2 linked regions of the Ovis aries genome follow. Each later gene encodes a partner of the first gene's protein in a complex. Links are inferred from orthologs where the notes say so. Each region holds a gene or a part of one and is shown in the gene's direction. Other genes may lie near its edges.

Evidence for each region.
Region 2: RBM10 (region 1) and MYSM1 share a complex: the UniProt entries of both Homo sapiens proteins name them as parts of the large chromatin remodeling complex. The link is inferred for Ovis aries from reciprocal best matches to the Homo sapiens genes RBM10 and MYSM1.

What each region holds. Positions count from the first base shown.
Region 1 is NC_056080.1:57,631,582-57,646,922, reverse strand, and holds the end of RBM10 (RNA-binding protein 10), read left to right. Parts: intron 1-1,693; coding exon 1,694-1,763; intron 1,764-3,571; coding exon 3,572-3,645; intron 3,646-5,010; coding exon 5,011-5,097; intron 5,098-7,170; coding exon 7,171-7,231; intron 7,232-7,370; coding exon 7,371-7,550; intron 7,551-7,912; coding exon 7,913-8,073; intron 8,074-8,237; coding exon 8,238-8,335; intron 8,336-8,421; coding exon 8,422-8,509; intron 8,510-9,117; coding exon 9,118-9,304; intron 9,305-9,404; coding exon 9,405-9,544; intron 9,545-9,646; coding exon 9,647-9,764; intron 9,765-9,857; coding exon 9,858-9,949; intron 9,950-10,036; coding exon 10,037-10,201; intron 10,202-11,114; coding exon 11,115-11,264; intron 11,265-11,573; coding exon 11,574-11,639; intron 11,640-11,716; coding exon 11,717-11,905; intron 11,906-11,984; coding exon 11,985-12,059; intron 12,060-12,367; coding exon 12,368-12,474; intron 12,475-12,549; coding exon 12,550-12,679; intron 12,680-12,765; coding exon 12,766-12,891; and 2 more. UniProt on the Homo sapiens protein: Binds to ssRNA containing the consensus sequence 5'-AGGUAA-3'. May be involved in post-transcriptional processing, most probably in mRNA splicing. Binds to RNA homopolymers, with a preference for poly(G) and poly(U) and little for poly(A).
Region 2 is NC_056054.1:33,406,414-33,422,214, reverse strand, and holds the start of MYSM1 (deubiquitinase MYSM1), read left to right. Parts: upstream 1-7,961; 5' UTR 7,962-7,971; coding exon 7,972-8,036; intron 8,037-12,377; coding exon 12,378-12,453; intron 12,454-14,077; coding exon 14,078-14,148; intron 14,149-15,801. UniProt on the Homo sapiens protein: Metalloprotease with deubiquitinase activity that plays important regulator roles in hematopoietic stem cell function, blood cell production and immune response.

The sequences.
Region 1 (15,341 bases):
CCTTTCAGCCCTTCTCCCCCCAGCCCTGTCCCCCAGCACTGCTCTGCCCCCGGGGCAGGCCCCGTCATCTCCTAGTCTGGAAGGGAGGAGTGTGGCACAGGCTGGTTTGGCCAGGGAGCTGCAGCGGTGGCTGTGGGAGGGAATAGAGCATTCCTTCCACGCATTCTGCTGGTGATCATCCCTTCTGCATATGCCGATCAAAGGCCAAATGCTCACCAGGCCCGCTGCCAGATATTGCTGTGATGTGGAGACCCTGCAGGCTGGGGAGGCTCTCCATGGGATTTTCTGAGGTTTTATTCTCATTCCCTACCACCTGCTCTCTTTTGCCAGCAGCCCCGGATCTCCTCACTGGCACAACCACAGAGCCTTGAGTCCTCCTTCCTTCACTGCTGTTGCAGCCCTCCCACCCCGTCTGCCTGTGTGACATTCCCTCCCTGTCCGTACCAACTTCCCTTCATGAGCAGGAAAACCCCATGTGGGCCACTAGAATAGCCTCCTCACTACCCTACCCAGTTCTCCTCCTCCTCCTCACGGCCTGTGAAGGCTCCACTCAGCTCTCCCCTGAAACCTGCTGGCTGCCTGTGCTGTCGCAGAGAAAACCCCACCTGTGTGTCTGAGAGCTCTCAGGTCTGGCCCACCTGCCCTGTTCAGGGTCAGGCAGTAGCTGCATGTTTCCATTTGTGGAGGATCTGTCACATGGTGGGCCACATGCACAGCCGCCTTACAGGGAAGGTCCTCTGTGTTTTTCATCCTACGGATGAGGAGGCCAGGCCCCTGGCAGCTGGCCCCAGTTCCCATAGCCAGCAAGTGACAGAGCAGAGTTGGGGTCTGAACCTGGGCAGCTGAGCCCCAGAGCCCATGTTCCAGCCGTTTCCTGAGCCCTCCCTGAGTATTGTGATCCTGATCTCCTGTGTCTCTCTCTTCTCCATTCTCATGTGTGCCTGTTGAACCTCCAATCTGTTGCTGACCCTGGTGAGGGCACTGAGGCCCAGAGGCATTATAGCCACTGGTCCAGAGTGCCCAGCACAGGCATCCAGTTGTTGGCGAGAGGTGCCACTGGCCTCAGGACCCTGCCTCACCTGATCCAAATCCCAAGTTGCATCTGCAACTTCGCCTGGCGTAGGTCATCCAGGAAGCTTTCCATACCCCACAGCTGTGCCTTTTGGTCTCAACCTCAAGTTCCCACTCTGTTCGTGATCTAGTGCCCATGGCTGGGCTTTGCTCAGACCCCAGTCCTTCCCAGTTTGGGGCTTGTGTCATGGGTCTCTCTCGATGCAAGCTGGAGGGCAGTCCATTCATGAAGGGCCAGGTTTGCGCCCCAGCTTTCCTTGCTTTGTGGCTGCAACAAGCCCGTTGTCAGACCACCCATGCCCACCATTCTTGAGCTGCTGGCTCACTTGCTCTTGACATTCTCTGCCTCTGAAGGTCCTTACACTGCCATGCTTCACCTTGCAGCCCACCCCTTCCTTCCTTTGGTTCCCTCTGCAAATCTGGGGCTGAAAGCTGAGACTGGGTACTGGTAGGGGGCCGGAGCTGTGATCACTGGGGGAGAATCCCTGAGAGAGGGAGTGGATACAGTGTGTGCACAACCCCTGTGACCCCCTTGGGGTCCCAGAGACCTCCATCCAGCCCCTGGTACCCACAGACAGACCCCTTGTGCTGAGCCTGCCTCAATCCATATCACCCCATACAGATCCGTGGCCAGCTGCAATCCCATGGCATCCAAGCGCGGGAGGTCCGGCTGATGCGGAACAAATCCTCAGGTGAGCTTTCGTTCCAGTACCCTCCCCTTCTGCTGGCCAGCCTCAGCCTCCGAGTCTCCCTCCTGCCTCTGCCTTCTCCCCCACCCTCCCCACCCTGCCTTCCTGCCACAGCTGGGAATGGGCCACTTGGGGGTATCCTCTCTTCTCTCACCCCTCCTCCCACCCTCCTCACAGCTCTGGCCAGGAGCCTCTGATGCGGGCCTGTCGGGGAGGGGGTGCAGCTGTGAGCTGCGCTGAGTGCTCCCCGGGGGCAGGGCCAGGGCCAGGCTCCAGGATTGTCCTCTGTGGGACTCTGAGAATCTGAGACGGTACCCCGTCCCCCTCGTAGACTCCCTTCCTTCCCTCTTCTTCTCCTTTCCCTGCTCCTTGCTCTCCCTGACACTGTTCTGGTAACAGCCTCTGACCAGAAAGTAGGTCCCACCCATGTGTCCCAGGAGGGGAGGCAGGGGATGGCTCTTGTCCAAGAGTGCATCCCAAGGAACAGCCCAGGTCGCTGGCCTCGCTCGTTCCCTCCCTCCCTCTTGCAGGCTGCTTGGAGCTGGCCTGAGGTTAGTGGGCGGGGTGGGGTGTCTCTGCAGGATCTCCGGCCCAGGCTACCCAAGTCAGGCCCAGTGAGGCCTCGCTCTGCCTGGGCTTCTCTCTCCATCTTCAGTCTCCTCCCCACTCCTCCATCTGTGTGTGTGTGTGTGTGTATATGTGTGTGTGTGTGTGTGTGTGTGTGTGTGTGTATCTCTCTGTCCCTACCTCTCACTCTCTCTGTAATTATACCATTTCATCCTCCTGTGCATCCTAACAGTTATTCTTTTGGAGATCAAGCATGCCCCGCCGTGTCTAAGCTCTCCCAGTGTGTGCACCTCCAAAGGAGGAGCTGCTTTCTGGCGGCCTCAAGCCCTGGATCCTTCTCCCAGCCAGGCCTGGAGTCTCTCTTGGTAGCATGTTGGTCTTGCTCTGCTGCACCCTAGCCAGGCTGGCAGGATTCTGGTCTCCCCGGGGTGGTGTCCCAGGCCCCCTCTGTGGCCCCGGGTGCTCCTACCACGGCCCTACAGATTCTTGAAGGTCTCCTTGGACTACCTGGCCCCCATTCTCCTGCCATCTTGGAGGACCTGGACTGGGGTGGCTATAGTCTTCCCAGCTTGGCCCTGAGGTGGCTCCCTGGGGAGTCCCACCTTCCCTGCATGGTGGTGAGGCTGAGGGGAACATTGTGTCCCTGACTTCCCCTGGTTCCTGATGGTCCTGGAGCCTCTCCAGCCTCACCAAGCAGCCTAGCCCCGCTTCTCTTTTGCTCCTTCCATTACACACCTGTTGTGGGACCCCCTCCTGGACTACCCTGGCCTCGTGCTGGGCATCACCATTCCAGTTGGTGATTCTGGCCCAGGTGAAACCATCAGCCTGCCCCTCTGCCCTCCTTCCTTTTCTGGAGACAGACCTCTCCTTGTACTTTTTCCCTCCCAGCTCCTTCTCTCCGTCTCTGTCTCCCCAGGCTGTCTGGGCAGGTGTGCCTGAGCCCCCATCTCTGTCTTTCTTCCCAGCTACCGTGTGTGTATCCCCCGCCCCCAACTCCTCTCCGGCTGTGTTTTCCTGCCTCCCTTCTTCCCTCCTTCCTGCCCCTACCGACCATCTCCCTGGCCTCCCACATCCTGGTCTTTCTCTCTTTGCTTTTCTCTCTCCCTTTCTTCCTTTTTCCTCTCTCCACTTCCCTCTCTGCCCCCCACCCCCAGTCCTCTCCCCTCGGGTCCCGCCCCCGGGAACGCCGTGTGTCCAAAGCTGTTGACTAACCCACTGCGTCTGTATCTGAATGCTGTCTCCAGGTCAGAGCCGGGGCTTCGCCTTCGTCGAGTTTAGTCACTTGCAGGACGCTACACGATGGATGGAAGCCAATCAGGTTGCTTTGCCGCACTTGAACCCCCCCCCAAACAAATACTACTTTGTAATCGAGCGCTCCCCATCGCCTGATTCTTACGGACACAGTTCCCTGCCCTGTGGTCCTGTGTCTCATCCCCCCCAACCCCTCTCTCTACCCCTTCCTGACCCTCACTATCTCCTCTTCCTGTCTCTCGCTACCCACTGGGCTTCCCATTAAGAGCCCACACTTGCCACTGGCCCTTCCCTCTGGTCAGGCGCTAGCTCTGCCTCTCCTCCTCTCCCAGCTGAGTTTTAAGAGGAAGGGCTGCCTTGGGGGTGGTAGGGGGGTTCTTCCACCCAGGTGCCCACTCCCCGGGGGACCACCCTGCCCTGGGGTGAGGCAGAGCCAGGACTTTGTTTCACTCAGGCACCACTGCAAGTCCAGCCGCTGGGGAAACTTAGTTGTTGGCATTACTAATTAGCAAGTCCTGTTTTGCCAGCTCTCTCCCTGTGAGCTTGGCCCTGTGATTTCCATAGGACAGGCCAGCAGGATTCTATTGACCTAAAGTACCAGTCAGGGGTCATAGTTTCATTCACCAGGACTCACTTTGGTGCCCCACCCCTCCCACTGCACCTGGCCTGCCCAGGAGTCTCCACTGGGGACAGGCCTGCCCTCCCAGCAAGGAGTCTTGCTGTCCGGAAGGGAGGGGAGCTCACTCCCCCAGCCTGGCATGGGCTCCTAACCCAACAGCTTTGGGACCTTCAGAGACCCAAAGCTTCTGCTCACCCACCCAGAGCCCAGCTGACTGCTATGGGGCACTGTGCCTCGGGCCGGGGGAAGGGGAATGGGGCAATATGGCGGCCCTGGGGCCATCTCTGCTGGTCCACAGGCTAGTGGGCCCAAGGACCCAGCTGGCCACGGGAAGACAGCTTCACTGCAGGACCGTCCATCTTTTAAATATGGCTCTTTCTTTCTCCCCTTCTCCAGCACTAGCGCGCGTGCGCTCTCTCTCTCTTTCTCTCCCCTCCTCTCCCTCCCCTCCCTGTCCCCTTCATCCCAAGTGTAGCCTGTGTAGTGCTGGCCCTGGGTGTGGCCTGGCAGTGTTAGGGCTGAGTGGGGGTTTGCCGCACTGTCCGGCAAGCTTCGGGCAGCCGAGCACTGTATGCCTGGTGGAGTGTGTTCACGTGTGCGTGCCCGGAAAGGCAGCAAACAGCTGCGCCCGAGGGCTGTGGCTCTTTCCCTCCCTCCTTCCCTTCCTTCTTCCCTTGTCAGTTCTCCGACCTCCCTCCGTTCCCTGTCCCTCATCCATCCAGCTGAAGGGCTCGCTCACTCTCTTCTCCTGTGCTGAAACGGTGCGTGGGGCACTGCTGCCCAGGCCTCACTGTGCTCTGCTTTTCCCCGCAGCACTCCCTCAACATCCTGGGCCAGAAGGTATCCATGCACTACAGCGACCCCAAGCCCAAGATCAATGAGGACTGGCTGTGTAATAAGGTACAGGGGCAGTGGGCAGCAAGTGCCATGGATTGAGACAGCCGCGGCAGGGGTGGCAACATGTCTGTCTCCCTGGGGCCTCTGAGTGGTGCGGGCATGGAGGAACTGGCCCAGCTCCGGCAGCACCGCTCATTGCCTCCCCCACGACTCCCCTCCTCGTCCACCCAGCCAGCTGCCAATTCATACTGAGCTTTCACTCAGTGCCAGGCTCTGCCCTCATGCAGCACGATATTGCCTGAGGCCCCAATAGATGTCACATAGACGTTTATGTGAGTGACTAGTGACGGTGAAGCATAACATGGTGTATGAAAAGTGGGCATCAGGGCCAGACTGGCTGAAATTAGACTCCCTCAAAATCCCCCTTGAGGTCAGAGTATTAACCTCTCTTTGCCTCACTCTCCCCATCTCGAAAACACAAATACTAAATACCCAGAGGTGGTCAGAAGGATTGAAATGCAGTGATGAGAGGGTAGCACTTGGAACAGCACCTGTCAGCTGCTGTCCTAAATAATGTGTAGGGTGTTCTGAGAGCTTGTGTCAGATGACCCAACCCCTGACAGAGCCAGGTCCACAGAGACTGACTGTACAAGCTGTAGGTCTTTGCGCTCATGTTCCCTGGGAGGAGGCTGAGGCTCAGAGAGATGGAACCTCGAGCTGCGTCTTATTCCTAATCATAGGCTATGGGTGCCACCGTGGGTTCGGGTCCCCCCTTAGGCCAACCTCACCTTCTGCAGCCGGCTGACAGCCCTGAGACCTAAGTCCTGAGAGCTTGCAGGGGCCCCCAAGCCTCTCCCCAAGAAGAACTCTGCCCAGTAAAGTGGGGGAGGGGGGCCTCTTTGTTTGAAAATGAAAAGAGTAATACCAGAAGGCAGATGTCCAGCCTCTCTGGAGAGAGTGACAGGAGGACTCACTCCATCTCTCCTGTATTTTCAGATGCTCCTTAAAACTAGGGCAGTCTGTTCTTTCCTCTCCTTTATCTACCACATCCTATTGCTCTCTGGTCTTGTCACGTCCATCACACAAACACCTTCCATTGCCATTCTCACTGTGCAGGCTGGTCCTCACCCCTCCTCCAGACAGTCACCATGGGCCCCTCTCTGGTTTTCTGGCCTCTTGCCTGTCTCCCACTCCCTCACCTTTGGCATTCCTCACACCCACTTCTGACCATGTCCCTCCAACTCTGCCAAAAACCTGCACATATCTGAACGTGAGTGTGACGCTCCTCTGGGATTTAATGTCACCTTCTCTAGCCTTGGCTTTTGCCTTTCTCTCCACCCTCCTACACCAGCTACACAAAATGTCTTGTGTCCTCTGCTAGCAAGTGCTTCCCAGCAAAACCAAACCTCTGGGCCTCCCAGGTGAAACAGCCATGCGGACTATACCCAGCTGAGTAAGCTGGGCCTCAAGGCCCACTCCTCTCCTGGAGTCCCTGGTGGTGACCATTTCCAGACTGACCTGCTGCACCTCTGTGCTACATCCGCTCCCTACTGTTAGGCCGCATGCTGCGGAGAGCCTGGCATGGGAACAGTGCTCAGGACTTGACCGCGGATCAGAGACCGAAATGTGGTGAAAACTGGGGGTCTCCAGAGGCTGCAATGCCCAAGGCAGATTTATTTCTCAAGAGTGGCAAGATCCAACCTCGAGATGAAGGGGTGAGGCCTGGCAGGAGAGGGGCTACTGACTTTTTAAGGATAGAAAAGTGATGAAGGTTTCTGAGAAGGAAAGTACGTTCTGGGAAGAGGAACCTACTAAAAGGACTTTGGAGGCGGAAACGTCTCTGAGCTGGTCCCTTGGAGGAGACAGCAGTTGGTAACAGAGGTAGGGGGTGGGTTACGGACTCCTGAGTTGAGGGGTGGGCGCTGAGGAGAAATTTGAAACCATGTAAAGAGTCGTGTGTCTGAGAATGACAGCCATTCCCCAAAGCCCTTTGCTCCCCCCTCCCCTGACCCTGGGACCTTCCTGGGGCATGGTGGGATCCCTGGAAGATTTCTGGATCCACATTTGGAGGGTGCAATGGAAAGCCCCCACCCCCCACCCCCTGCTGCCTCTGACAGCCTGGCCTGTGCCTCACAGTGTGGCGTCCAGAACTTCAAACGCCGTGAGAAGTGCTTCAAATGTGGGGTGCCCAAGTCAGGTACGGCCTTCCTACCTCCCTCTTCCTTGGGACATTGTGGGGAGAGGGGCGAAGGGTGAAGGTCACAGCTCTGGAAGGAGGGTGACCTGCCTGGGAGCGCCTTCCAGTTTGTCACCAGTCTCTCTCCTGATGCCCCTAGCAGAGGCGGAGCAGAAGCTGCCCCTGGGCGCGAGGTTGGATCAGCAGACGCTGCCGCTGGGGGGTCGGGAGCTAAGCCAGGGCCTGCTGCCCCTGCCACAGCCCTACCAGGCCCAGGGAGTGCTGGCCTCCCAGGCCCTGTCACAGGGCTCGGAGCCAAGCTCGGAGAATGCCAATGACAGTGAGTCCATTGCTCCTTCCTCTCTGCCTTAGGGTGTCTAGGCTGGGTTCCCTGAGGCCAGAGAGACGGTGGTGACCAGGACTTAGTCTTCCCAGGGGTCCACCGGGTTTGGAGTCAGACACATAATGTAGGGAGAGCAGAAGAAGAGCATTACCAAACTCTACTTGAAGGGTGTGTTGAGACGATTCTCTCCAGGCAAGTGGCTGAGCTGGGACTTGGGCCGACAAGCAGAGAGGAAGAGGTGGGAGGAAGCAACAGGTACAAAAACATGGAGGCCAGGGAGAGGAAGCAGTGGGGAGCCAGCAGAGGGCAGGGCTGGAGGGGGTTATTGGTGCTCCCTAATGTTGAGTCCCTTCCCACAGCCATCATTTTGCGCAACCTGAACCCGCATAGCACCATGGACTCCATCCTGGGGGCCCTGGCACCCTACGCAGTGCTGTCCTCCTCCAATGTACGCGTCATCAAGGACAAGCAGACCCAACTGAACCGTGGCTTCGCCTTTATCCAGCTCTCCACCATCGTGGTGAGGGCGGCACAGGGGGGGGCCGGGCAGCCAGAGTCCCGGCCCCCAGGGCAGGGAGGAGGGACACTGACCCTAGCTCCCCAACCGCGGCCCCAAACCTGGAAATGGGGCAATGGAGCCGGGGGCCTCCCCGGGCCTGACCCTTCTGCCCTGCCCACCCCCAGGAGGCAGCCCAGCTGCTACAGATCCTGCAGGCCTTACACCCACCACTTACCATCGACGGCAAGACCATCAACGTCGAGTTTGCCAAGGGTTCTAAGAGGTCAGGGCCCCACCTGTGTCCCTTCTCAGCCTGCCCCCCAGCCTGGGGCCTCCTGTCTCACTTCCAGTCTCTGACATCCTCCCCAGGGATATGGCCTCCAACGAAGGCAGTCGCATCAATGCTGCCTCTGTGGCCAGCACTGCCATTGCCGCGGCCCAGTGGGCCATCTCACAGGTACTCAGAGACTCCCCTCCACCCCAGCTCCCCCATACCTGGGCCACCTCCACCCTCCCGCTCCCTCTCTGCAAACAGGAGGGCTGCCTTGCTGTAGCGGCTTCCCGTGGACCAGAAACCCTCTCCCGATGGTTGCCGGTGTGGGCTGCAGGGGCCTCATGGCAGCTCCATTCCCCAGCCCCTCCTCCCAGGCTTCCCTTTCCAGGGCCACGCAGCCGCTTTTCTCTTCTGTTTGGTGCTCATGTGTCATTGTGAATTGTTTCAACTTTTTTTGATAAAAGGGAACTTAGAAGTGGCTGTAAGAAAATTGGGAGAGGAAAATATAGGCGGGGAGGATGGCATCTTCCCTGGTCTGACCCCCCAACCCATATAACACACAGCGCATCTAGCAATGTCAGCTCTGGGAGTGTTTTGGCACGTGTCTTTGTTCCAGTCTTGTTTTTGTCACCACCCCGCTCCGCTGTGGCCCGGTGTTCTTGTCTGAAGGCTGCATGGTTTCTGTCAGCAGACAGACACTAGCTTCCCTTGTGGGCACATGCCTCTTAGCCGGTTCCCCTCCCCTCTACCCCACCTCCTCTGCTAATGAGCCCCTCCCACCTGCCCCTCAGGCCTCCCAGGGTGGGGAGGGTGCCTGGGCCACCCCCGAGGAGCCAACGGTCGACTACAGCTACTACCAACAGGATGAGGGCTATGGCGGCAGCCAGGGCACAGAGTCCTCTCTCTATGCCCATGGCTACCTCAAGGGCGCAAAGGGCCCTGGCATCACCGGAACCAAAGGGGACCCGGCTGGAGCAGGTAAGCCTCAGCGTCTCCCCCAAACCCACGGTGGGGACTGGCAGGCCTAGGGTCCTGGGTCCTGCCATTCACATTTTCTCTTCTCTGTTGCCCTTCCCAGGTCCCGAGACCTCCCTGGAGCCTGGGGTGGACTCTGTGTCCCTACAGGCTTTCTCCCGTGCCCAGCCTGGTGCCACTCCTGGTGTCTACCAGCAGTCAGCAGCTGAAGCAAGCGGGAGCCAGGGCGCTGCCAACAGCCAGGTGAGGGAAATCAAGGGGGAAGGGTCCTTGGGGGGCTCCTGGGTGACATGGGGTCACTGGCAGACACTGAGCCTTGTTCCCTGTTCTTGCCCCCATGACCAGTCATACACCATCATATCACCTGCTGTGCTCAAGTCAGAGCTCCAGAGTCCCACCCATCCCAGCTCTACCCTGCCACCAGCCACGAGTCCCTCTGCCCAGGAGTCCTACAGCCAGTACCGTGAGTAGCCACAGCCTGCACCGAGGGGCAGGGGGCTCCTTCACAAAGCAGTGAGGTGTGTGACATCCCTCCCACACACTTGTCACTCCCCAGCTGTTCCTGACGTCTCCACCTACCAGTACGATGAGACATCTGGTTACTACTACGACCCCCAGACGGGCCTCTACTATGATCCCAACTCTCAGGTGATGGGGCGGCCTGGGAGGGGAGGGGGTGGCGTCTGCTCCACGGCATCTCAGTCCTCCCTCACGTCCCTTCTCCCATCACCCCAGTACTACTACAATGCCCAGAGCCAGCAGTACCTGTACTGGGATGGGGAGAGGCGGACCTACGTCCCTGCCCTGGAGCAGTCAGCTGACGGGCATAAGGAGACAGGAGCGCCCTCCAAGGAGGGCAAAGAGAAGAAGGAAAAGCACAAGACTAAGACGGCCCAACAGGTGAACACTGGGAGCCCAGCAGTCACTGTCCATTAGGTGTCTTCTGGGTAGTATCTGTGCTTGAGAGAGACCCGGCTCCTGGTCCGGCTCTGCTCTGCGCTGTGTGATCTTGAGCCAGGGCCATCTCCTCGGTACCCAGTCAGGCTGCCCACCTTCCTGAGGTGGCCACTGCCATCCAAGTGCAGCCTATCAACTATCCTGTCCCCTGGTGGGAACCTTTGTGCTGTTGGTGACAGTGTGGGCTGGTCTGGGCACACCTGTAGCCAGGCTAACCCTGCCTAGGGAAACAGATGCACAAGTCTGCTCCTGTGGGCCCAGAACCCCACCTGATGGTGTGTATTCATCTGTCTGTGTATACACATGCCAGAGAACTTCTTCCAGGCCCATCAGGGGGTGGGCAGGAAAACAGCCATTGCAGTGTTCTGTGGTAGTGGGCAGTTGGAGGGAACCTCCATGTCTTCTCTGAGGAGGAAGAGTGTGACAGTCTGGGTGCAACACTTAGAAGCAAGAACTTCGTGTTCCCTTGATAGCCTGGTAAATTCTAAAACTGATGGTGTGCCTGGGTAGGGATTGGGCATCAATACAAAATGTGGCATAGAATCACACCTGTTAATTAAAATTGTATGCCGAGCAAGCCATTCTGTGCATTTCAGAATGATGAAAACTCACAGCGACCCTAATAGCATGGACACCTGTGAGGAGAATAGGGACACAGCAAGGGAGGGGCTTGCTGAGGAGCACTAATGACAGGATGACAGAGAAATGGGGACTTTAACCTCTGCCTCTCTGTCCTTCCACTTGAGGCTGCAGGGCAGGAAGGGGTGGGCTGCTACAAGGGCAGTGGTTGGAGTTGGTGACCCCAGCAGTTGGTAGATTCCTAGGAGCCTCACCCCACCACCACCCTCATCCCTAGATTGCAAAGGACATGGAACGCTGGGCCCGCAGCCTCAACAAACAAAAAGAAAACTTCAAAAACAGCTTCCAGCCCATCAGCAACTTGCGAGATGATGAAAGGCGAGAGTCAGCCACCGCCGATGCAGGCTACGCCATCCTCGAGAAGAAGGTGTGTTGTGGCCATCCATTTGTGCTCTGTCCCCAGGCTTGTCATCCCTTTGGTCCTTCTGTGGAGTCCCTGAATTTCCCTGTCCCTCCACCCCTGGTGCTTCAGATGGTAAAGAATCTGCCTCCAATGCAGGAGACATGGGTTCCATCGCTGAGTCGGGAAGATCTCCTAAAGGAGGGCATGGCAATCCACTCCAGTATTCTTCCCTGGAGAATCCCATGGACAGAGGAGCCTGGCGGGCTATAGTCCATGGCGTTGCAAAGAATCGGACATGACAGAGCAACTAACACTTCCATTTTTCCACCCCAGGGAGCACTAGCTGAGAGACAGCACACCAGCATGGACCTCCCCAAACTGGCCAGCGATGACCGCCCAGTGAGTGCCTGGGGCAGAAAGAAGGGTGGGGGGCTGTGAACTAGCCAAGCCTGACCTCTTGCCTTCCCCTTTTCCAGAGCCCACCTAGGGGGCTGGTGGCAGCCTACAGTGGGGAGAGTGACAGTGAGGAGGAGCAGGAACGCGGGGGCCCAGAGCGGGAGGAGAAGCTCACCGACTGGCAGAAGCTGGCCTGTCTGCTTTGCCGGCGCCAGTTCCCCAGCAAGGAGGCGCTCATCCGGCACCAGCAGCTCTCCGGGCTCCACAAGGTGACTGAGGGAGGCCTGGCAGGGAACCCCAGCCTGGCCTGGCCCAACCGCTTCACTCTCCTCCTGTCCTCCTTTACAGCAAAACCTTGAGATTCACCGGCGAGCCCACCTGTCAGAAAACGAGCTGGAGGCACTTGAGAAGAATGACATGGAGGTGAGGTGTGACCCACTCCCCGGCTCCATCCGTCGGTCCCTTGCCAAGCACCCCATCTGTCATGCAGGCAACTGGTGCGGGCAAGTTCCTCAGCTAGACACAGCCTGGCTGCCATCAGCCACCTCACATCTGTCGCCATGCACGAGCTTCTTCCCAACTACCCCGTGTTGGCGGGCGGCTGGTAGCTGCAGGACCTCAGACCTGTTGGCCAGATCTGATTCCCTGTGGGCCCCCTGACCCCAGCTGTGCCCATGTTTCCTGCAAAGAGCTGTCAGCCCCTTCATTCTCACACATATACACTGTTTCAGCAAATGAAGTACCGGGACCGCGCAGCTGAACGCAGAGAGAAGTACGGCATCCCTGAGCCACCGGAGCCCAAGAGGAGAAAGTACAGCAGCATGTCTGCGGCCTCCGTGTGAGTGTCCAGGGCCAGGTGGGGGGCGTGGGGCCAGCAGGTCTGCCACTCACACTGTGCCCCTGTCCCCTGCAGGGACTTTGAGCAGCCCACGCGGGATGGGCTGGGCAGTGACAATATTGGCAGTCGCATGCTCCAAGCCATGGGCTGGAAAGAGGGCAGTGGCCTGGGCCGCAAGAAGCAGGGCATTGTGACTCCCATTGAGGTGAGCCTGCTGGGATCCCTTGCCCATCCTCCAGTGCTCTCCACTGTAGCCTTGACTGACTAACAGAGTCTGCCTCCTTCACACAGGCCCAGACACGGGTGCGGGGCTCTGGCTTGGGTGCCCGAGGCAGCTCCTATGGGGTCACGTCAACTGAGTCCTACAAGGAGACGCTGCACAAGACAATGGTGACCCGCTTCAACGAGGCCCAGTGAACAGCTGCAAGACCTACTTATACTTGCATCAGGTGTCCAGCGTGGGGCGGGGGAAAATGAAATATTGGGTGGTTAAAGCGAAGCCTTGCACCTGTCTACCAGCCCTACTCCCCAGCCAGAGAAGCTGTGACCAAGTCAAACTTTGAGTTGCAGACTTTTATTGGAAAACTGGGCTGGAATCACCCTTGTTTTTGTAATAAAAGCTGAAAAGTCCGCAGCTTGTGTCTCTTTCTCATGTCCCAGAGTGCTCTGTGGCCCATGCAGACATGGGGACATAAACACAGATAGACAAGGCTTTGTCAGGCTGAGGTGGTTGGCAGTGGTGGCATTCACAGTGATTTTCATGGTGGCTCCCAGCTTGGTGAGGGTTGGTAGCAAGACATGGTGTTCTGGCTTGTGCCCCAACATGCAAGATCCTGGTCACAGCGCCTCACCATTTCGGGTCCAGCAGGTTAGACTGTACCAGGAAGTCAAGCACCACCAGGGTACTGTTGGGCTTGTCCCTCCAGATCAGAAATAGGACGAGGAACCCCCACCCCCTGGCCTCGCCACCCCACAGCTACACTTGCTGTACAGTCACGAGGCTAAACTGTACTTGGCCCTCCCTAGGTCTGGGGACCGTGCTTGAGGGCATTTCTAAGTGAATGATGATGGGCACTCTGGCCCCAGTGGGCCCGGTGCTCTCAACGAGCTGATGACCCCAGAGGCGTGGAGATAGAGAAGTCAACCCGCCAAACCCAGGTCCCAGGGATGCCCCACCATTTGGGCCCTCCCACATCCCAGTCTTCTCCATGGCTTTTACCACAGTGCCCTACTGTTCCGGTCATGCTAACCGTTCTGCACCCTGTGGTTCACAAATACATGTGTGTGCTCTCAGCACAGGTCTGAATACAGCAGAACACAAAGCTGGGCCTGCCCTCTCTGGGCTTTAGGGGGCTGGGCTGTGCAACAGGGCCAGGAACCGCCCCTCCCCCAAACATACAAGCTTATGAGACAGGAAGGGAGGTGGTGTAGGAAGAGCAATTGGCTCAAAGCCCCTCCCCCACTTAATAGTCTGCATTGAGACATCAACCTACACCAGTGGCAGGGACAGGTGAGAAAGATGGGGACCCCTAGAAGTGGGATGGTGCTGATCTGGGGTGGGGGTGTTGGCCTAGTGGGAAAGGGAGAGGAAATAGGAACAGAAAGAGGCCACGTGAAAGGGTGGCTTTCAGTCTGGAGACACCCCCATGTTCCCTTCCCTGTTGCGGTTCCCTAGAGTTTAGCCCCCAGGAATCCCATGTCAAGGAAGCCTCATACATGGCTGGCAATAGTCAGTGGTACAGCCACTCTGGAATATGGCTGTTTCATAAAAAGGTACACATAAGGTTACCCTGTAAACAAGAAATTCTATTCTTAGATGTTTATCCCAAATAAATGCAAACATGTCAACAAAAGGACTTGTTACATGTATTCACAGCAGCTGTGTTCAGAGTAACCACAAAATGGGAACAACCCAAACATCCAGCAAGAGGGAAATGGATAAATTGTGGTATATTCATATAACAGAATATAAACTGGCAATAAAAAGTGACAAAATCACTGATACAAAAATCAACACAAATGAACTACAAACGAGTAAAAAAAGATACAAAAGAAGTACATTGTTTACTGTTTTGTTTGTATCGAGTTCTCAGCACATTTGTGGTGATAGATTTTCTGGACTTACTGGAAAGAGTTGCAAAGCAGCTTTCTAGAAAAATGAAATGTTCTGTATTTGACTGGGGTGCTGGTCATATGTGTGTATAACTATGTATACATTCAATAAGCTATATAATTAAAATCTGGGCATTTTGTCATATAAATTATACAAGAAGTTGGAAAAAGACCACCAGAGCAAACCTCAGGAACAGGAAAGGAAATAATAGAAGAGCAGAAATAGATGAAGTAGGGAGGGAAACAACAAGTTAATAAAATCAAGAGTGGAATCTTTGAAACAAAAATTAAGAGGAAAAGCAGACCTCTGGCAAGACTGATGAATTTAAAAAGAAGCAAACAAACCAAATACAAAATACAAACCAGAGGGGGGAGTTCACTACAGATGCAACAGAGAAAGTGTATCTGAAAATATAGATGAAATGAATATATTAGTAGAGGGATATAAAATGCCAAAACTTCTGTGAAGAAACAGATTACTCGAATAGAGCAAAGTAGTAAATAAGTTGAAATCTTCCCTCTCCTCACCAAAATAAGAACCCAGATGGTTTCTGTAGGTGCACTCTACCAAACTCCCAAGGAACAGTTAGTCACTATCTCATACAAAGTTGTTCTAGATATAAGAAAAAAGAATGAAAGCTGTCTATTTTATGAGACTGGTGTCATCTTGATCCCCAGAACAGATGAGATAATACAAGAAAACATTTCAAGCCACTTGAACCTGTAGATGTAAAAATCCTTAATAAAATCCTAGC
Region 2 (15,801 bases), on another chromosome or scaffold:
TCAAACTTTCAAGTACTATATATTTATTATGGTGATCTGTGATCAGTGATTTTTGATGTTACTATTGTAATAGGTTCTTTTTTGGTATTTTTTAAATGATGTATTTTTAGACATAAAGCTATTGCACACTTAATAGGCTACCATATGGTATAAACATAACTTTTGTGCACTGGAAAACCAAAAAATTTTTGTACTTGCTTCATGTAATATTCTCTTTATTGTGGTGGTCTGGTACAGAACATGCAGTATCTTTGAGGTATGCCTGCACTTGTATCCCTCCCTTTCGAGACTTTGTATTATTGTTCTCATATATTTCACTCATATATATGCTGTTAATCTCACATTACATTGTAATTACTTTTGTTTAAACAGTCAATTCTCATTTAAAGAGATTTAAATACTGATAGGAACAGATTGAAGGGACAAAAGAGACAATTAAATAGTTAATCCCACTAGGGGATTATAAGTAGGAAAATACAGGAGATCTCTGTAAGTTAATAATTACTCAAGAAAGCAGATTTGCTTAACCACAAAAGCAAGCAGGCTTGCGTAGCAACAAAACCTTGCAACAGAAGCACAGGACATGCCCCCAAACAATAAAACAATGGATGCATGAGACCCCCATACTGTCCAGTGAGCTCAGTACATTAATGATTTCTAGAACATGCTCTCCACACACCTAAAAAACAGTAATTTTTGGACCTAGCTTGACCACAAAGGGACAAGAAAACTTCCTTTTTCAACCTGGAAGAGGAGCTGATGATGAAAACATTCAGTTCAGTTCAGTCGCTCAGTCATGTCCAACTCTTTGCGACCCCATGGACTGCAGCATGCCAGGCCTCCCTGTTTATTACCAACTCCTGAAGTTTACTCAAACTCATGTCCATTGAGTTGGTGATGCCATCCAACCATCTCATCCTCTGTTGTCCCCTTCTCCTCCAACCTTCAATCTTTCCTGCATCAGGGTCTTTTCAAACGAGTCAGTTCTTTGCATCAAGTGGCCAAAGTATTGGAGTTTCAGCTTCAACATCAGCCCTTCCAATGAATATTCTGGGTTGATATCCTTTAGCATGGACTGGTTGAATCTCCTTGCAGTCCAAGGGACTCTCAAGAGTCTTCTCCGATACCACAGTTCAAAAGCATCAATTCGACGCTCAGCTTTCTTTATAGTCCAGCTCTCACCTCCATACATGACCACTGGAAAAACCATAGCCTTGACTAGATGGACCTCTCTTGGCAAAGTAATGTCTCTGCTTTTTAATATGCTGTCTAAGTTGGTCATAACTTTTCTTCCAAGGAGTAAGCGTCTTTTAATTTCATGGCTACAGTCACCATCTGCAATGATTTTGGAGCCCCCCCAAGAAAGATAAAAAAGCAAAGAAAGACAAAGAAGGTCCTCTGCCTCTCTTTACTTTTTCTTTGATTGTAAAACTATTGCCCAGTAAGTTCTCAGGGTGTGGCATTTCTAGCCACCCATGTGTAAGCCTCACAAGCCTCCTGTTCTAGTAAATCACTTTTTATCTACCACTTTGCTCTCACTGAATTCTTCTCTGTGCTGAGATATAAAGACTATAGTATCAGAGTTCTTCAGAGACCCCTGAAATGACACTTAATGGTTTCGATACTAAGAAAACAAATCTTTTACATTTACCATGTCATTACCATCCCTGTACTCTGCCTTCTTTTACAGGGATTCAGATTTACATCTATCATTTCTTTCTGCCATATCATTTCATTTCTTTCTATAATTTCTTTCTTTAACATTTTTTGTAGTAGATAGGTTGATGATGTGTTCTTTCAGATTTTGTATCTCGAAAAGGCTTAACATTGCCTTCATTTTCGAAAGATATTTATACTAGATATACAGTTCTCTAAGCTGCCTTTTTCCTTTCAGTAATTTTAAAATGTTGGCTTACTGTCTTCCTGCTTCCATTGTTTCTGACAAGAAATTTATTGTCATTCTTATGTTTTTTCCTTTGTAGGGAATGTGCCTTTATTGTCTGAAAAGCTTGCTTTTCTATCACTAGTTTTGAGAAATTTGATTACAATGGGCCTTAGTATAGTTTCTTTATGTTTTCTAACGCCTAGAATTCTTTGATTTTCTTGGATATGTGAGTTTATAGTTTTCCTGAAATTTGGAAAAATTTTCCTTTTCTCCTTCAAATACTTTTCCTGATCCCTACCATCCATTTTTCAGAGCCCCCAACTGAGCGTGACGTTATCCTACAGCTCATTGACTTTTCTGCTTATTTAAAAGTGTTTTCATTTCTCTGTATGTTTCATTTTGGATAGTTCTTTGATTATATGCTCAAGTTCACTAATCTTTTATTTTGTAATGTTTAATTGTTACCTGTTTGATATCTAGTAGACTGAAGTTGAAGAAAGTGGAGAAAACAACTAGACCATTCAGGTATGACCTAAATCAAATCCCTTATGACTATACAGTGGAAGTGAGAAATAGATTTAAGGTACTAGATCTGATAGACAGAGTGCCTGATGAACTACGGATAGAGGTTTGTGACATTGTACAGGAGACAGGAATCAAGACCATCCCCAAGAAAAAGAAATGCAAAAAAGCAAAGTGGCTGTTTGAGGAGGCCTTACAAATAGCTGTAGAAAGAAGAGAAGCGAAAAGCAAAGGAGAAAAGGAAAGATATAAGCATCTGAATGCAGAGTTCCAAAGAATAGCAAGGAGAGATAATGCAAAGAAATCAGCAATCAATGCAAAGATATAGAGGAAAATAACAGAATGGGAAAGACTAGAGATCTCTTCAAGAAAATTAGAGATACCAAGGGAACATTTCATGCAAAGATGGGCTCAATAAAGGACAGAAATGGTATGGACCTAACAGAAGCAGAAGATATTAAGAAGAGGTGGCAAGAATACACAGAAGAACTGTACAAAAAATTTCTTCACGACCCAGATAATCACGGTGGTGTGATCACTCATCTAGAGCCAGACATCCTGGAATGTGAAGTCAAGTGGGCCTTAGGAAGCATCACTATGAACAAAGCTAGTGGAGGTAATAGAATACCAGTTAAGCTATTTCAAATCTTGAAAGATGACACTGTGAAAGTGTTGCACTCATTATGCCAGCAAATTTGAAAAACTCAGCAGTGGCCAGAAGACTGGAAAAGGTCAGTTTCATCCCAATCCCAAAGAAAGGCAATGTCAAAGAATGCACAAACCACGGCACAATTGCACTCATCTCACACGCTAGTAAAGTAACGCTCAAAATTCTCCAAGCCAGGCTTCAGCAATACATGAACTGTGAAATTCCAGATGTTCAAGCTGGTTTGAGAAAAGGCAGAGGACCCAGAGATCAAATTGCCAACATCTGCTGGATCATCGAAAAAGCAAGAGAGTTCCAGAAAAATATCTATTTCTGCTTTATTGACTATGCCAAAGCCTTTGACTGTGTGGATCACAATCAACTGTGGGAAGTTCTGAAAAAGATGGGAATACCAGACCACTTGGCCTGCCTCTTCAGAAACCTGTATGCAGGTCAGGAAGCAACAGTTAGAACTGGACATGGAACAACAGACTGGTTTCAAATAGGAAAAGGAGTATGTCAAGTGGAAACAGTGTCAGACTTTATTTTTCTGGGCTCCAAAATCACTGCAGATGGTGATTGCAGCCATGAAATTAAAAGACGCTTACTCCTTGGAAGAAAAGTTATGACCAACCTAGATAGCATATTAAAAAGCAGAGACATTACTTTGCCAACAAAGGTCCATCTAGTCAAGGCTATGGTTTTTTCAGTGGTCATGTATGGAGGTCAGAGTTGGACTATAAAGAAAGCTTAGCGTCGAATTGATGCGTTTGAACTGTGGTGTTGGAGAAGACTCTTGAGAGTCCCTTGGACTGCAAGGAGATTCAACCAGTCCATGCTAAAGGATATCAACCCAGAATATTCATTGGAAGGGCTGATGTTGAAGCTAAAACTCCAATACTTTGGCCACCTGATGCAAAGAACTGACTCGTTTGAAAAGACCCTGATGCTGGGAAAGATTGAGGGCAGGAGGAGAAGGGGACAACAGAGGATAAGATGGTTGGATGGCATCACCGACTTGATGGACATGGGTTTGGGTGAACTCTGGGAGTTGGTGATGGACAGCGAGGACTGGCGTGCTGCGATTCATGGGGTCACAAAGAGTCGGACACGACTGAGTGACTGAACTGAACTAAACTGAGTGTGTATATGCCAACCTCCTAATTTATCCCTCCCCCACCATTCTGATTGGTAACCATAGTTTGTTTTCTGTGTGTGTCTTTTTCTATTTTTTAAATAGGTTCATTTATATCTTTTTTTAAATTCCACGTATAAGCGATATCATATGATATTTGTCTTTGTCTGTCTTACTTATTTTTGTATTCTTATAAGTACTCTTGAGCTTTTTTTGTCAGGGGGAAGGAAGGTATAGTTAAATTTACCAGAAGCAGTTTCATCCTTTCAGATCCTATCTTTATGCTCTGTGTGAATATCAATTTCTTCTAATTTTTCCCATTTTTTTTCTCCATATTAGCACAGGGCCTTCTATTTTGTAGTCCCTAGAATCTAGAACACTACTTTCAAATTTTAACTAATCAATATCTTCAAAAATGTGGTATAAGAGAGTATTCATTCTGGGATAAGTGCCTCCCCCTGTGATCCTAGAAGGATGGGGAATGTATTAATAGAACTTATTATATCATCTTGAAATTGCATGTTTGATAGATTTTATGAGAGCAACGAACGAGTCCATCTTTTTCAATGCCATTTCTCTGAGTACAGTAGGAATATAAGTATTTATGAACTCTGAATTTTTTATTCTAGATTCAAATGGGTGAGAAAATGAGTCTTTAAACAAATTGCAGAGTGTTTTTTTTTTTTTTTTGCAGAACTCTAGAACAAAGAATTTTAAATAATAGACTGGGCTTCAGGAATCCACTCAGGTTATATATGGGGTTATAGCTGTATCTCTGTAGGTGCATGCATGAGTGCTAAGTTGCTTTAGTTGTGTCTGACTTTTTGTGACACTATGGACTGTAGCCCACCAGGCTCCTCTTTCAGTGGGATTCTCCAGGCAAGAATACTGGAGTGGGTTGCCATGCCCTTCTCCAGGGGATCTTCTGGACACATGGACCAAACTCGTGTCTCCTGCAGCTCCTGAATTGCAGGTGGATTCTTAGGGGTTGGGCTAAAACTTCACAGAGCCTGTTTCACATAAGTCAGCAAAGCAGGAGCATAGTGTGGGTTATGTGTGGGGAGGCTTCAGGCTAGTCCCCCTATTTAAGAGGCCTTTACATTTAGAGGCCTTGCGGGCATACTTGAGTTCTGTGCAGGACTTCCTTTCCTTCTTTCCACATATATTTTAATGCCTAATGATGGTGGCACTGGGCCGGAAAGCCTTCAGTTCCTTGGTGCAAGAGATGCTGTTCTCATGGTGTTCTCTGTCATGGTCTAGTGTCATTTGATATCACGGGTGTCCAAGGTTCCCATCTGGCCTGCTATGTAAAGGTCAATAAAAGGCATCTATATTCTTTTGATTATCTGGGTATGCCCATCTTTCTATCTTACTGTAAATCACATCCAACAAATACCTCAGAATGCCTACTCTGTTACAAGCAAGCCAGCTACCACTAGAACTGGTCATTGGATAAGTCCTTTGGCAACAGGTAAAGCATCCTCACATGCACGTGACACCACCCTTATGGCAGAAAGCAAAGAGGAACTAAAGAACCTCTTGATGAAGGTGAAAGAGGAGAGTGGAAAAAGTTGGCCTAAAACTCAACATTCAAAAAACGATGATCATGGCATCTGGTTCCATCACTTCATAGCAAATAGATGGGGAAATAATGGAAACAGTGAGAGAGTTTATTTTCTTGGGCTCCAAAGTCACTGGAGATGGTGACAGCAGCCATGAAATTAAAAGACGCTTGCTCTTTGGAAGAAAAGCCATGACAAATCTAGACAGCATATTAAAAAGCAGAGACATTATTTTGCTGACAAAGGTCCATCTAGTCAAAGCTGTGGTTTTTCCAGTAGTCATGTATGGATGTGAAAGTTGAACATAGAAGGCTGAGCGCCAAAAAATTGATGCTTTTGAACTGTGGTGTTGGAGAAGACTCTTGAGAGTCCCTTGGACTGCAAGGAGATCAAACCAGTCAATTCTAAAGGAAATCAACCCTGAATATTCATAGGAAGGACTGATGCTGAAGCTGAAGCTCCAATACTTTGGCCACCTGAAGTGAAGAGTCAACTCACTAGAAAAGACCCTGATGACGGGAAAGATTGAAAGCAGGAGGAGAAGGGGACAACAGAGGACAAGATGGTTGGATGGCATCACTAACTCAATGGACATGAGTTCACGCAAGCTCCAGGATGTGGTGAAGGACAGGGAAGCCTGGCATGCAAAATTCCATGAGGTCACAAAGAGTTGGACATGTCTGAGCGACTGAACAACAACAACAACAACAACAACAAAGCATCTGCAGGTTGACCTAAGGATGGGGCACTATACAGTTTCTGAGCACTGGACACCGGATCTTCCTCTGTGATAAACTTTGCCTCCATCTTCTGCCATCACATTCATAATACAGCTCATCTATGGCTTGAGCATAAACAAAAATGAGATGGAAAAAACTCACAACAGTGTCGGAAGAGGACTCATTCCATGAATCGATTGACTCATTCATCAGTATATTTACCAAGCACCTACTGTGTGTCAGACACTTTGCTGAATGATGATAGTATAAGGACTAGTGAAAAGACTAGCAGATACAGTGCTTATTCTTAGTGAATTCATCAACCAACAGTGGAGGCAGACAAGTGAATGAACAGCTACAATAACGGCAGTGATCCAAGGGAGAATAATCCATAAGGCCAACATCTAATTTCTTGAGAAACCATAAATTATTTGAGAGAAATGGCATTTGTCTTTCACAGTTCCCAACTACATGATGTGTAGAGGGTAAGCACTCAGTAAAGAGTCAAGAGGCCTAGATTCTGGTCCCAGCTGTCTTTGACCAGCTATCTTTCCTTTCCATTAGTTATTTCAGTTTTCAGAGCCTGTTTCCTCATCTGTAGAACTCATCTGTAGATAATATCAGTCCGGATTAATTCACTGTGCAATTGTGAAAATTAGTGGTCATGAGAATGATATTTTAATTAATTGTAAAGATCTCTACAAAGTAAAATATGTAATCATAAGTTATACCCTTAATTTTTTTGATAAAACAGATGTTCAGCACTTCAATAAGTACTGAATAATTCCTTAAAAAAGAAAAAAAGGAAACGAAAGAAAACCAGCAGGTAAGGATCACTGTTGCCACCTTCACAGTTCAAAGCAGGTCTAATCTGATATTTTCAGCACTCTAGATAAAAATATTAGCTCTTCCCTGGTGGCTCAGACGGTAAAGATCCCCTGGAGGAGGACAGGGCAACCCACTCCAGTATTCTTGCCTGGAGAATTCTCATGGACTGTAGCCCACCAGGCTGTGTCCATGGGGTCGCAAAGAGTGGGACATAACTGAGGGACTAAGCAGCAGCAGATTATTATTATTATCCCCATTTTACAAATCAGAGGAGTGAGGCGCCAAAGAATTTATGCAAGAGCACAGTCTCTTCAAAACCCAAGCCTGCGCTGCTTGCCAAGGCTTTTGTTGAAGCTTAGTCTTTAAGATGTGCATGACTATTTCGGGATTTCTCAGCAAGAATACCGAAGTGGGTTGCCAGTTCCTACTCCAGAGGATCCAATGTAGGGATCGAACTGGCCTATCGCAACCGGATTCTTTAGCACTGAGCTGCTCCTCAACAAAACCCCAGAACCCCAGAACTCCTTAGCATCTTTTCTCCGAAACCCCGCTTCCCCAGCCTGGAAAGAACTGGCAGAGCCGTCGACTCCGCCCCATGACGTACATGGCCCCGCCTTCAGGCCCTCCACTTCTCGCGGGATCTCTCGGGAGGACGGCTGGGGTCAGGTCCCATCATGGCGGCTGAAGAGGCAGATGTGGATATCGAAGGGGACCTAGTGCCAGCGGCGGCACAGTCTGGGTGAGCAGTTGAGACTGGGCTTGCAGAGACGAGGAGGGGCACGGCAGTGAGGAGGTACCCTCTAAAGGCCGCGGTTCCGGCAAGGGCCGGGGGAGTGGAAAACTATCCCCTGGGCCAGGGTCTCCTGCCGGCCTGAGAGGCGCGCCTCGCCCATCCCGTCTGTGGGCTCCTCCTGAGCTCAGAGGGCGGGTACCGTAGACTAGCGTGGGACAGCCCATTTACCGGGATCCTGTGAGGGCGCTGACCGCGCCTAGCACATTGCATACTCTTAAGCAATTAGATTGCTTCTTCCCTTACTGCCACTCCAGAACCCGCCTCCTTGCCACCGCCCAAAAAATAATTAGAACAGGGGCGGTCCCTGGACAGAACCCAACTTAGGAATTCTTGTTCCCTCGCTTGCAGGCCGTGTGACCTTGGGCGTGTCGTTTTATCCCTACTAGCCTCTGGTTTCCTCTTCCACGTAGGGGTAGTTATGAAAAACTTCCCGACATGCAGCGTGATCTAAAAGAAAGGGGTGGGACTTAAGAGTTTGACAGCTGTGTATTGACCCAGCTAGATGGCACCCCACTCCGGTACTCTTGCCTGGAAAATCCCAGGGACGGAGGAGCCTGGTAGGCTGCAGCCCATGGGGTCGCGAAGAGTCGGACACGACTGAGCGACTTCCCTTTCACTTTTCACGTTCATACACTGGAGAAGGAAATGGCAACCCACTCCAGTGTTCTTGCCTGGAGAATCCCAGGGACGGGGGAGCCTGGTGGACTGCCGTCTGTGGGGTCACACAGAGTCGGACACGACTGAAGTGACTTAGCAGCAGCAGCAGTTACTAGCAGTGTGACTTTGGGCCTCAGACAACTCGTGTGTAAGCTGACTGTCATGTTATGTGCTTCGTACGGTTACTGTGAAGATCAAATGAAATGATTTGGGGATGTGCTCTAGTATAAGAGAGGTGCTCTGTAAGTGTTGTGTTCTTTACCTTCCCACCACGGATAGTATTTTGAGGACCCAGTGAGAGGTCACCATTTAGTACCAGTTCCTGCAGAGCAGGCCAGTGTGACTTTTAAAAAGCAGCCTCCAGCTTGAGATATCTAGCTGTTTGACTCCTTGCTTGCAGAGAAAGAAATTGATACATGCGGTTTTAAAGATGTGCTTTCAGAATTCTCTTTTAGTAATAGAAGAGGCTTAGACTGGTCAGGATCAGAAGACCTCAGTTCTCAACTCAGCCAGCTGTGTTGCTTATAACTATGAACAAGTTCATTAGAAGTCTCTACATTAAGCCAGGTAAAATTGTGAGGCTTAGACCATTTTTGACCTATAGAATAGCAATTTCACATGATCCAGCCTAATAATAGCACCTTTGTAAATTGTGAAGAAGAGTACCAACCCCTGTCCATGAGGGACTGAAACAGAGCCGTTTAAAGTTTTCCTGAACTTAAAACACTATAAAAATGAGAAGTAACTAAGTCTCCTTCAGCTGTTTAGACAAAACAGTACAAGTCTCTACAAATGAACAGAAAGCCTTTGATAACAGTCTTTCACATTTGTGTAGATCAAGTTAATCTTGACCGAGTGCTTTTGCATGCGTGGTTTGATTTACTTTCCACAATAAGTGTATGAAATAGGTGTGAGGGATTCTTATCTGAAGTTCAAGGCAGATGAGCTGCCCTTGGAAACACTAAAGATTATCTGAGAGCACTGACTCTTCCCCTTTTTCCATGGGTTTTTCTTTATTTTTATGATCGTGTTTTATTTCTCTTTTTCTTTTTTCTTTCCTTTTCTTATTGTTCTGTTTGAGCCCAAAGTCTGCTGATGGCACTTACAGTCACATTAGTCTCATGAAACCAGTAACTGGTTGTTGGTTCCTGATGGTCATCGTCATTGTCTCACACAATTCTGTAGAGCATCATGAACATTACAGTCTAGTGACAGTTGTTCCCTAGTGTTGGTACTCTAATCATGTGGAATTTGGTGTGAGTAAACACTTAGATGCCCCTCTGAATTTTTCAGTTATAGCTGATCATGACATCTTGAGGGTTAATTGAAAACACACTTTTAAGTCCTTGCTAAGTGCTGGTTACCAAGGTTAGAAGATGCATTGAAGTGTTTTGTTTCCCTTCTACCATTCTTTCTTATCCTCTGTTTCTTCTACTTGTTCTTTAAATCATAGTATTTCCAAGGAATTTTTGTCATAAGACTTCTTATTAACCATACAGTCCATCTCTCAAGGCTTAAATTTCTGTTTAAGTTGGACCATATGAAATTTTCCCAATGTTCTACCAATTTTGACCCACACAAATGACATTTAATCTTAAATTCCATCTAATAACAGGCTGATATTGCCCAAATCTGTCACCAACTCAAATCTCTCTCATGATCTTCAGATCCATTTATCCATTTTCCTGAATCTATTTGCCCTTGGGTGAGCCACAAGCTCCTCAATCTCACTTTATAGAAACTTTCCTTACCCAACCTGCCTCTTCAAGTTCCCTAGTTCAATAAATGGCACCATCCACCCACTCATGCAGGGAAGAGACCTAGATTTTAACCTTCTTCCTTACCTCTCTCCTATTAGAGAGTCTGTAGATTCTGAGTATCCTCTCAGATGTGTTCACTTCTTCCTGTTCACATTGCTTGTGCTTTAGGTCTAAGTTACTGTCACTTCTCTCTAGTATCTATGTAATCACTCCCTCTTAACTGCTTCTTGTCTCTTTGACCCTCTTCTAGTCTTTTCTGAAGTTAGAGTAGTCTTTTCTTACATCCAGATCTGATGATGGTACTCCCAACTCCCTAGAGACCTGTGTGATCCATACCCCACCTACCTGTTCATTCAGTCATTCAACAAATATTGATTAGCATTTATATGCCTAGCTCTGGGTTTATAGTACTCATCCAAACTAAGTCCTTGCTTTTATGGAACTCACATTCTTATTGGATGAGACAGAGAATAAACTTTATATTATAGCAGTTTCTAAGAGGTATAGCAGTTTCTAAGTATAGACTGGGAAAAGTCACTAACTAGGAAACTTTTATAACTTCAAAACATATAGAAGCAAATTTTAAATTTAATTATATCACAGATTGGGCCTCCTCAAACTTAACTATTCATATGAAGTGAACAATGTGACTTTCAGTTCAGTTCAGTCGCTCAGTCGAGTCTGACTCTTTGTGACCCCATGGACTGTAGCATGCCAGGATTCCCTGTCACCAACTCCCAGAGCTTACTCAAACTCATGTCCATCGAGTCAGTGATGCCATCCAACCATCTCATCCTCTGTCATCCCCTTCTCCCGACTTCAGTCTTTCCCAGCATCAGGGTCTTTTCCAATAAGTCAGCTCTTTGCATCAGGTGGCCAAGGTATTGGAGCTTGAGCTTCAGCTTCAGCATCTGTCCTTCCAATGAATATTCAGGACTGATTTCTTTAGGATGGACTGGTTGGATCTCCTTGCAGTCCAAGGGACTCTGAAGAGTTTTTTCCAGTACTGCAGTTCAAAAGCATCAATTCTTTGGCGCTCTGCTTTCTCTATAGTCCAATCTCACATCCATACATGACTACTGGAAAAACCATAGCTTTGACTAGACAAACCTTTGTTGGCAAAGTAATGTCTCTGTGTTTTAATATGCTGTCTGAGTTGGTCATAGCTTTTCTTCCAAGGAGCAAGATCTTTTAATTTCATGGGTGCAGTCACAATCTGCAGTGATTTTGGAGCCCCCCGAAATTAAGTCTCTAACTGTTTCCATTGTTTCCCCATTTAAATGGTGGAAGTAACTATGACTCTCTTAAGTGTGACTTTAGAGAGTTCTAATTAGTTAAAAGGCTGAGAATTAACAAAGTTGAATCCCTCATAGACATAGAAAAGCCCCCAGATAACTCAAGTTAATTTTTGTTATGTGAGTTAAAACAACAGATTTGTTAGATCTCTTCACTGTACTGTCCTCCTTCAAGTATTTTCTTTTGTTTCTTCTATTTCGTCTTGCTTTTTCTTCCATTTTGAGAGTGGTACTGTTAATGGGTGGCTTTTATGCTTTAGATATAACCAGGAGAGTCATAAAGTTGAATTCCTGTATAGATGTGCATATTCATCAAAAGAAATCTGAAATGTTGGTTCATAGCCACAGAATATGTTGTGTGTGGTTGCTGTTTGGACATAGTTTTTTCCTCATGGAGTTGTTTATTCTTGGGAGACAGAGAAGTAAACAAACTTGATATTTGGCAGTTGAAATAGGATGGAGAAAGGAACTAAATATTTGTTTACGTACGAAACCTGTCAGTCACTGTGCTGTGTAAATTATATTCATTAATTGGTATAATTTCACTTTTATACCTATTTTCTCAATTATTGCAGAAGTGATGAAAATACAGCATCAGTTTTACAAGATCATTATCTTGATTCATCATGGAGAACTGAGAATGGTCTTATTGTAAGTATTTTGTGGAAATATCAGGTATATTAAGCTATTACTCAGTGCGCAGAGTATCTCTCTCTCTCTCTCTCTTTTTTTAACTTGGTGCTAGTTCTCAGTGGTCACAGAGGTAAGACAGTGAAACCTTTTTCTTAAATTAAAAATAGAAGGAATTTATTCTTTTTTCCTTTGAAAAAATGGCCTTCTGGGAAACAACTTTGGAGCCAGCTAGATTTAGGCACAAATTGGTGCTCTACCACTTATCAGATTTATGAACCACAGTTTTTTCATCTAAAATATGGGGATTGTTGCATGATTCATTTCTTCATTTAACAGTTATTTATCGAGTCCTTGGGCTTCCCTGGTGACTCAGTAAAGGACCCCCTGCCATTGTGGGAGATGCGGGTTTGATCCCTGGGCAGGAAGATCCCCTGGAGGAGGAAATGGTGACCCACTCCAGTATTCTTGCTTGGGGAAGCCCATGGACAGAGGAGCCCGGCGGGCTACAGTCCATGGGTTCACAAAAGAGTCACACACAACTTAGCAACTGAACAACAACTATTGAATACTTACTATGTGCCAGACACCAGGCCAGGTTTGGGGGATTACAACCATAATCAAGACGGACATGGTGAGGGAAACTGAGAAGGTGACATTTAAGTTGAAAGTAGAAGTAGGGATGTGAAGAGTAGAGGAAAACTATATGCAGAAAGAACAGCAGCACAAAGGCTGTTGTTGAAATCCAGTATCTAGAATATAGTAGGAAAGGGGGAGAGGTGACAGGTTGGGGAGGCAAATGATGGCCCTGTCACACTAGCAGGAGGCAGGAAGAAAATGAAAAAGACTAGTTAGGAAACATTTCTAGGGACCTAAGCAAGATTCGGTGATGGCTTGGCCTCAGCTTGTGGCAGAAGTTGACAGATTTGAATTATGTTTGCGTGGTAGAAATGCTTGTTATATTGGGTTTGGGGATTGAAGGAAAAGGAAAGAATCCAGAATGATTTCTGGGTTTCAGGCTGGAATAGCTTGGTGACTAGTAATGCTGCTTACAAAATTGGGAAGGCAGGAGAAAAGCTGGTGAAGGTTATGCTTTGGTAAATTTTGTTTTGAACATGTGAAGTTTTAAGAAGCCTGTTAGGTATCCAAGTGGAAATTTTGAGTGGGTAGTTAGTTATAACCGTCTAAATAGAGCTTGGAAAAGAGACTTGGCTGAAAATGTTTACGTTTTGAGAGTTAAAAAGAAGTATGGAGAGATTGTGGCTTAAGGGGAAGAAAGGAATTGTGGTGAGTTTTGGAAATATTAATAGGTGAGGTATCTAGCAAAAGCTTAGTAGTATCTTAATTGTTCCTCATGCAGGATAACCATTATTACTTTATCATGAGTAGGAGCCAGAGCCTAGGAATCTAAGGCTCAAGTCTCTTCTTTCCCACTTAAAACGTTAGTTACTGCTTCTATGAATGCATCTGAAGTAGTGATGCCTGTCTCAGCATTATCGTAGGAGTCCAAAGATATGTCTGTGTTCTCGGTAAATGGTAGCTTTATTATTTGTAATCATATTATTGTGTATTTTCATTTAACAAAATAGTAATTGGTTTCAAAAAGCAGTAAATAAAAAAAATTATTCTTCCTTTTTTTTAATAGCCTTGGACTCTGGATAGCACCATCAGTGAAGAGAACAGAGCTGTCATTGAGAAAATGTTGTTGGAAGAAGAGTATCCTTTATTCACTATGAGGAAAGTAAAGATTTCAGGGTTAAAAATTCATTAATGCAAAACTTACAAAAGAGACCACTGTTAGTTGCTAGATGTAATGCTAGGGTATAATGTTACCTACCTATTCTGTTTTACCACTAAGTCTGAGATCTGACCCAATACTTTTGAGTTTCTGTTGTCAACCAACTCTTTCAGTTACCTTAATATTGGACAGAAATTATAGAGATTTTTTGGTTGTTGTTGTTTTGTTTTTATTTTTTATCTTTGCCATGCCACATGGCATGTGGGATCTTAGTTCCCAGGCCAGGGATTGAACCCATTCCCTCTTTAGGGAAAGTGTGAAGTCCTAACCGTGGACCAGCAGGGAATTTCCTATAGAGTGTTTTAAATCAGCTAGAATCCTTAGTTTAAGTCCAGATTTTCTAGTCCAGACCTCCCATTTTCAGTTGTATGAGATATTAATTCGTCCAAAGACACAGAATGAGAATATGTAAAAGTTCTCACTTCTTATTCTACTAATTTATAGGTGTTACTGGGGGCAATCTAAGTAAAAAAGACAAAACTATAGAATGAAGATTTTTTTCTCCCAGAAGTTGTAGGTCCTTATTCACAGTTCAGCCACTGGCTTCTTGCCCTGTTTCTTTCATCTGTTTGTGATATTTGCAACTTAAATTTTGGGGAACTCATATATTTTTTTACATGTAAAATAAAAGGATTGAATAAAAAGTTTTCTGATTTTCTGATTTATAAAGATTGTTAATATAACTCTAATTAAAGTAGTGAGTGGTTTGTTTTCAACTCTTCTGTGTTTCATGGATTTTTATCTCCTTTTTAAGCCAGAATTTCTGTTCCTTTTACTCCCAGTTATTGCTGTGTTGTTTTCAGGGTGTCTGTGTACCTTTAATTCTCATGGGTAACCCCCTTTTAGGCTTTCTTACTCTCCAGCCCTCCCCAAACATTACAGCTATAGCCTGGATCATCGCTTTTCAGTAGAAAAATAGTGCAAGTCACATATGTCCTTTATAGTTTTCTAGTAGCCATGTTTAAAACAGGGGAAATCAATTATAATAACATTTTATTTGACCCAGTATATTTAAAATATATTTCAACATTTAATATGTAAACATTGAAATGTTTTACATTCTTTGTTTTATACTCTTTGAAACCCAGTGTGCATTTTATATACTTAACAGTACATCTCAGTTTGTGCTAACCACATTTCAGGTATTCAGTAGCTACACATGTGGCTATTAGCCAATGTGTTGAACAGTGTCATTCTAGATTAATGAATATTTAGGAAGTCAGTGGTTCACTTCCAGACTTGGGAACAAAATAATGATAGTAAAAGCTGTGCGAGCTCTTGGATGAACAAGGATAATGCTTTCTTCTATCCTTGTCTTCAGCACCTGATATCTGCCATGATGCCTCGTGCACATGACACACAGTCAGTATTTGCTAAGTGAAGAATCTAAAAATATAACAGTATAGGCTAGGTTTAATCAATCTGAGAGGTAGATTTGACCCAAGCGTTCGTTATATTTGTTAGGGTAGAGAACAACCCTAAAGTCTTCTCTGTTACCTTCAGAAATGTGAAAGCAGATACTCCTGAATTATCCTGGACGACCAGTCAGCATCTGTTAATTCTCCATATGT